2 linked regions of the Arabidopsis thaliana genome follow. The protein of the gene in region 2 purifies or fractionates together with the protein of the main gene of each other region. This does not show direct contact. Each region holds a gene or a part of one and is shown on either strand. Other genes may lie near its edges.

The links. The genes of interacting proteins can lie anywhere in the genome.
Region 1: the proteins of SDH2-2 (region 2) and HSP60-3A purify together in Arabidopsis thaliana (affinity purification with mass spectrometry, with the first as the bait; one large-scale study listed by BioGRID). This does not show direct contact.

What each region holds. Positions count from the first base shown.
Region 1 is NC_003074.8:4,563,624-4,567,375, forward strand, and holds the start of HSP60-3A (heat shock protein 60-3A), read right to left. Parts: upstream 1,713-3,752; 5' UTR 1,511-1,712; coding exon 1,473-1,510; intron 1,353-1,472; coding exon 1,331-1,352; intron 1,012-1,330; coding exon 880-1,011; intron 777-879; coding exon 617-776; intron 505-616; coding exon 329-504; intron 238-328; coding exon 142-237; intron 61-141; coding exon 1-60. Other genes in the region: RHD3 (Root hair defective 3 GTP-binding protein (RHD3)), read right to left, coding at 2,139-2,354, 2,465-2,561, 2,664-2,758, 2,976-3,080, 3,190-3,351, 3,451-3,547, 3,638-3,752.
Region 2 is NC_003076.8:16,279,313-16,283,064, forward strand, and holds the start of SDH2-2 (succinate dehydrogenase 2-2), read left to right. Parts: upstream 1-2,081; 5' UTR 2,082-2,149; coding exon 2,150-2,820; coding exon of another isoform or gene 2,821-2,824; exon of another isoform or gene 2,825-3,677; intron 3,678-3,752. Other genes in the region: AT5G40640 (uncharacterized protein), read left to right, coding at 60-255, 359-608, 694-946; AT5G40645 (RPM1-interacting protein 4 (RIN4) family protein), read right to left, coding at 1,098-1,121, 1,251-1,439, 1,563-1,571. UniProt on the Arabidopsis thaliana protein: Iron-sulfur protein (IP) subunit of succinate dehydrogenase (SDH) that is involved in complex II of the mitochondrial electron transport chain and is responsible for transferring electrons from succinate to ubiquinone (coenzyme Q).

The DNA.
Region 1 (3,752 bases), on a different chromosome or scaffold from region 2:
ACCTCTGGCTAGCTTCATTCCTTCCACTACTTCCAGCTCGTTATCTAAAGTGTTACCATCCTGGGTATTTGAAGAATAACACAGCGATCAGACAACCATCAAGTGATCTATTATAAGGCATGAAAAGAAAAGTAAGCTTACAGCAACAGTGATAACCCCTTCCTTTCCAACTTTCTCCATGGCTCTTGCAATTAGTTCCCCTATTTCACGCTCCCCATTTGCAGATATAGTGGCAACCTATCAAAGGAACATATGCAGTAGCAGTAATAGATCAACCTTTGGTATAGCATTCACAATTCCTGACTTATGAATATGTTTCTAAATTCACCTGTGTGATCTCTTCTGGGGTGCTAATCATAACAGCTCTGCTTTTCAAATCAGAGACAACTGCAGCAATTGCCATATTAATTCCAACACGCAAATCCATCACATTTACACCTGCAGCCACCGACTTGCAGCCTTCGATGAGTATCGCCTGAGTCAAAACAGTGGCACAAGTGGTACCTATATAACGAAAGGAAGGCAAGCAGAAATTAAGACTTTACTATTATCTCTTCACCGTATGTTTTCAATAAAAACTTATCCATGATTATGAACTCAAAAGAGAAAATATTACCATCTCCAGCAACCTTGTTAGTGGCACTTGCAACCTGTTTGACGAGTTCGGCACCAATGTTCTTAGCTTTAGCTTGAAATGATATGCTTTTTGCCACGGTGACACCATCCTTTGTGATCTTTGGTCCGCCATAACTGCTCTCAATTATCACATTTCTTCCCTACACCACAGAATTAAAAAAAAAAGATATTGAATTTGAAGACTGTTTCAAAAACAATCCACTCTACATTGATCTAAACCTTGTGAGAACGAAATATATATACCTTTGGTCCCATAGTGACTTTCACAGCTTCTGCAACCTCGGATACACCCTGCAACATAGCTGCCCGAGCTCCGATCCCGAAACTGATATCCTTGGCCGCATAGTTTCTGCTACTTATAATCCGCCCAGAAACCTTCATGGTAAGAGAGAACACCAAAAGAAAATCAAAATCGGAATTAATTAGTTTGATACAGGGTACGGCCAATTCAAGCTAATCATTCCGGAACTAGAAGATCTTCTATTGCATCTGAAACCAATAAAAGCAGAGCAATTTTGCAAATTAAGTAGCTTAAGGTGGAGATTTTGATGTAAACCCTATTTTTTTCATTGCATAAACTATCAGGACTAGTAATTTGACACATTTCTAGCAATTTCTCTGTTACCAACAAGAATGCCCATAAACGAAATGCAATCAAACTCGCAAAAAGACAGAGAGAGTTCACGAAACTCACCAGTTTCCTGGAAGTAGACGAGCTGCAAGACAATCAAACCCAGAAAGAGGAAGAAGAAAATTAAGCTCTGCTCATCAAAAAATATTGATCGAGAAAAATACAAGTTTTGAATAAGTTCGTTGAATGAAAGAACGAAACGTACCCAATTGAAGAAGATAACTTTGATAGCACTCGATACATTTCCGCTTGCAAAGAACTAGAGAAGGAGACGCTTCAAGGGTTTAGGGTTTTTCTGGGGTTTCTTAATCAAGGAATTAAGTTCCAACCTCCAAAGAGTGAAACTTTTTTCTTTTAGAAAAGCTAATAGTCTGGAACTTTCTTTGTGCTCTGTTTCTGCATCTCCCATAATTAGGTTTACAGTTTCATCCGTTATCTTAGGCCCATTATGAATTTTCCAATGGCCCAAAAACTCTATGCTAACATGATTACACTATAAACTTGCAATGAGAACCTGAAATTCTCTTCAATCAACAAAAACCAAACTGAATTTCACTTAATCAAAAACCGGTTTTTCTTCAAGTAACATTCTTTTTATCAGATACAATAACCACATCACTACAGAACTCGCAAACAAATCATGAGTTTTTTTGTTTTTGTCTGCATCAGAATCTTAGTCTAGGAACATACAAGATCACTTTGACACCTGCAAGAGGGAACCAATGCCATCGGAGACATAAAACATATGGCTCTCGGTGAATCTCTCTGATCAACACCAAAACTGAGAGCTACCTTTTTGAAAGGGTAACGAATTTTAAGTTTCTAGCTTCGTGGGCTAGCACAACAGCTTAAGCTTGTATACTTCTTTGTTCTATGCACTTGTATCAATGGGTACGTTTTTTGCTGGAGATGAACCAGAGCTACTGCTGCTGCTGCTTTCTCCATTGGTTGTAACCTCGGATTGAGCTGTAGAGTTCATTGATTGGTTGCTATTTGTGGGTGGTGCTTGTCCTTCTTCCGCAAGCTTTTTGAGGAGGTTCATGACCGTTGGAATGAATTTGGTTGACAAAGAGAGAAGTCCAGGTAGCTGTTGTTGATCATAGATGAAACATTGGCATTTCGGTGAGATTATAATTGAGATCAAATGAAGAACAGGGGCAAAAGTAAAAATATGGATGTTGGATATCGTGCTCATACCACGCCGTTTTGGAATTCTCCTGAAATATTTAATTGCACCCACAAGGCTTTGGATACAAGGTATCCGACAAATAGAACTAAGAGCCATAGAGGATTTCTGCCATGAGAGATGCAGGCACGAAGAGCCAAAGTGAGTACGGAATCTTGATTGTATGAAAAAGCCGCCGAGTCAATTCAAAAGAATGGACAAGGAGGGTACCTTAAGAGAGTCATAAATTCATTAAATCCAAGAACAACCAGGGCAAGGATTGCCCATGGAGGTGGCAGCCAGTTGTTATTCCGTCGGTTAGCTTCCTGAAATCCAAGGAGACTTTATTCAGATTGAAACCTCAATTATTTTTCCGGGTGTTAGCTGATTAAAGAACAGATGAGAAAGGAGACAAGAAGCTAGAAACGACATGACCAAAAAAAGATATTCAAAAACGTTTTGTAGCATTGCCAAATTTTAACATCAGCTCATGTGAATGAGCAAACGGAAGATATGCTTGAAAGTGTGGATTGCAAAGATTACCTGTGCAGAAATGGCCTGTGTAACGGTATATTCTGTCTCGTTCTTAAATTGCCTCCACAGTGATTTACACTGCACAGGTGTGATCAACGTCTTTTCTGGTGCAACCTGATAATAACAAGGTAACAGTAAGGATCTTTTATATCTCAAAGGTGTGAGTACTAAATATGAGACCTTTTGTGTTTTCATTATATACAGTGAGTAAGGTTTTAGTCACCTTCTCCCAAGTGCTTGAGGCAAGTGAATCAATTGTGCTGATGCTCTTGCTAGTAGCATTGTTGCCCGTAGAATTAAACAGAGCTAGCGTCAATGTCTTCTCAATATTGTCGAGTTCATCATCCAAGCGTATAACAGCCATAACAGACAGCAGCTTCAAGGACTGAAAAAGAGAACAAGGGTCATATCAAAATCTCGAGAAATTTGCGATTGATTCAAAGAATAGGTGCTGAGATATTGCTATATCAGGTAGGTCTCATACCGCAGAACGAGCCATTTTTGTAATTGCTCTGATGTCCTCCTTTCCAGTCCAAACACGTGGCATTGAATCAGAATCATGGCTGAAGATTGTAGCAAATCTGGATAGAAGTTTGTTTAATCAGAAAGCTCTGTAAGAGATGGAAGTTATCGGACAAGGAAATGATGAAAGACAAGTAAAATGGTGACACCTATCCTTCATGCGCATCATCGCTCTTCCAGCCTCTTCCTTTGCCTTGGTTTCAACAATACCTCGTGCATAGTTCTCGAGATCAGCAAGCATTTTACTCCGTGTTTCTTCGTCCA
Region 2 (3,752 bases):
ACTCTTCTTTTGGTTATCTTTGTATTTAAACCTGAAGCCTATTCTTTTGATCTTTGCAGCTTTTGGAGGCTCTATTTGTGGAATGTAGGCGGCACGGAGAGATTATGGTAACGAAAGGGATTATAAATTCAAAAGACATTGAAGAAGCTAAATCTAGCAAAGGCAGTCAAGTGATCAGCTTTGGCTTACCTGCTTATTCTCTTCTTCACGAGCTTTTACGCTCTATCAAATCTAACTCCACCGGTTTATTACTCGGTATGTTTCAACAGTTTTCTGTCAATTTTCATAACCGCATTATCTAGTAACTATTTGAACATCATCAAGAAACAAACAAAACCGTTTCTGTGTTTTTGTTTAGGTGACGGTGTAACGGAGATAACTACCAGAAACCGCCCAAAAGATGCGTTTTTTGATTGGTTTCTGAATCCGTTTTTGATCCTTAAAGACCAGATCGAAGCTGCAAACCTATCCGAGGAAGAAGAAGAGTATCTTGGTAAATTGGTATTACTCTTTGGAGATTCAGAGAGACTTAAAAGCTCCATTGTTGAATCTGAATCTCCTCCTCTAACTGAACTCAGAAAAGCCGAACTTGATGCCTTTGCTCGCAGGTAAAAAAGGCAAAAAAAAAAACACACACAATCTTGTTACGGCTTTCTACTTCGGATTCTAAGATGTGTTTTTGGTTTTGGTTAGGCTTCAAGGATTAACCAAATCAGTATCAAGATATCCAACATTCAGAAGACATTTTGTGGAACTAGTCAAGAAACTATCAAATGATCTAGACAATAAACATAACCGTTTTGAAGGCGGTTCGAGATCAGTTCCACGTCCCGGGAAAACGGTGTCTCGGATTTTCAGCCAAAAATCGTTCAAGAAAAAGACAAGTAGCAATGGGTCAGATCAAGATTCACCAAACAGAGGGTTAAGAGACATTGATATTGTGTAAGTAAATGTTATGCGACCAGAATTAGACCGAAACTTCGTCTGCTTTTAGCTCTGTAATGATAAATTTATACAGATTCCAAGTGAATATGAAACTGTTTCATTTATCTAACAAATGTTTTACATTCAGCTTTTGCTTGATGATGTGTTGTTTCTCAGAAACAGCAGAACCGTTTCTTCTGCAATAGAAATAGCAAGCTTTTAGTTTTTCTTTCACTTTAGACCTCATTTGATCTAAAACATAACAAACATAGGCTGATGTTTTCGTTAGTCATAAAATCTTGAGCAATTGGGATTAGAAATGTTACCGTAGGTTCATCTTGAGATTTGTTATTGTCACGGCGTTGTGAGGCGGCACGACCACTTGCGTTTGTCTTTTTGTCGTCTCGAGCTTTAGCGAATATAACCGTAAATCCTTCGGCTGATGCTGGATCGTTCACGTCCCATTCTCCAAATTTTGGTAATGGTCGATCTTGTTGTTGTCGTTGTTGATTATTCTGAAAGTTTCCAATCACAAAAATGTTTGATTTCTATTATAATCCAACGAAAACACACATGAAAATGCTATTTTTTGTATCAAATTTGTGAAACAAATGAGAAAGAAATGAGAAAGATCTTACCGATGCCATTCAAAGATTGTGTAAAAGATGCAAACAGAACATGAGATGATCTTTCTTCAAACAACAAGAAAACTTGTTTGTCTTCTCTTTTAGTTTTTGTTTTCTTAAAAGAATTTGATTACGTTTAAAGAATTAGAATTTGAGAACAGATTAGCGTTTTCTGAAAGTTTAAATATAGGTTAACGTTTTAATTATTGTTGAAACTTGAAAACAGAAAACACCAATCTTTTGTAGCGAAACGGAACGCTTTTTCTCGTACCGTCTTTTGTTTTCGAGTGAACTTCATCGTATCAAAACTCGCCACGTGATCTACACACTTCTCGAGGCGAACACGCGCATTTCAGAACTTATCCATTAATCTCTGTGATTAACCTATAAGCCGGTATTTATAAACGGTCACGATTTTCCAAGTTTTTTAATCAACGGTCGTTATTACGTAGACGAAGCTAAGCCTCACATCTACAAATACGTATACATACATTTTTACATAATAATTAATTAATAATTACAGGTTATTAACAAATTAATCATTTTTAATAGACTATTAAAAAAACAATTTCATTTCATTTGCTCTCTTCTCCGAGAAAATGGCGTTTGGTTTGATCGGAAGAGTTGTTGGAACCAAATCATCACGATTATCCACGGCGGCGCGATTGATTCCGGCGCGATGGACATCAACAGGATCAGAAGCACAATCGAAAGCTTCAACCGGCGGCGGAGGAGCGAGTCTGAAGACGTTTCAGATCTATCGATGGAATCCAGATAATCCTGGAAAGCCAGAGCTTCAAGATTACAAAATCGATCTCAAGGATTGTGGTCCAATGGTTCTAGATGCTTTGATTAAGATTAAGAACGAGATGGATCCATCGCTCACTTTCCGTCGCTCTTGCCGTGAAGGTATTTGTGGTTCGTGTGCTATGAACATTGATGGATGTAATGGTCTTGCTTGTTTAACGAAGATTGAATCTGGATCTAAAGAGACGACGATTACGCCGTTGCCGCATATGTTTGTGATTAAGGATTTGGTTGTGGATATGACGAATTTTTATAATCAGTATAAGAGTATTGAGCCGTGGTTGAAGAGGAAGAATCCAGCATCTGTTCCTGGGAAAGAGATTTTACAGAGTAAGAAAGATAGAGCTAAGCTTGATGGAATGTATGAATGTATTCTCTGTGCTTGTTGTAGCACGTCTTGCCCTAGCTATTGGTGGAACCCTGAGTCTTATCTTGGTCCAGCTGCTTTGCTTCATGCCAACAGGTAAACTTAATCTTGTTTTCTCATAATGGATTCACTAATCAAAGTAGTTTTTTGAAGATATTGTAGGGCTTGTTGGTAGTTTACATTAGTACGTTATATGGGGTCACTTAGATTGCTTAAGTTTCTGTAGTTGTAGTTTAGAGCTGAAGGAAGGTTCTGTTTTGAGATTTGCTTGAGAATTTTGTTGGTTTGAGCAGTAAGAGTTGGTAGACGGATTATGTATGGCTTGGGTTGTTTTACTTGTTTTACATTCATTATGCATTGTCAATAGGGTTGTTTTTACTCCTTTAGTGTTAGTGTGGTACTGTGGGTTTAGCTCTTTGTTCACTGAGGAAAGGTGCTAAGGGATCTTTGTGCTTCTTCACCTGTCTGTAGAAAACCCCAAGTTCAATGGTCTGATTGTATCCATGTCATTATGTATGGTCATTTAGGTTGTCTTGCTCCTTTAGTTGTAGTGTAGTTTAGCCTACTTTGTTCAACTGAAATGGAGGAGGTATCTCTGAAGAAAGGTGCGAAGTACTCTTTGTGCTTCTTCATCTGTCTCTGTAGAAAATCTCAGATTCAACGGTCTGATTGTAACTTTGTCATTATGTATGGGCGTTTAGGTTCTCTTACTCCTTTACTGTAGTGTAGTTTAGCTTTATACTGAAATGGAGGAAAGGCCTCTAGAGTAAGCTGCTAAGGACTTTTTGTGCTTCTTCAGATCTCTAAATAGAAAACCGCAAGTTCAACTATCTGATTATATCTGTGTCATCATGTAAAGATATATACTATATAGGTTGTTTCTGTTCCTTTAGCTGTTGTGTAGTTTAGCCGATTTTGTGCAATTGAAATGGAGGAGAGACCTCTAAAGGAAGGTGCTGAGGACTCTTTGTGCTTCTTCAAATGTTTCTTGAATAAATTGCAACTATATGATTGTATCTGTGTTATTA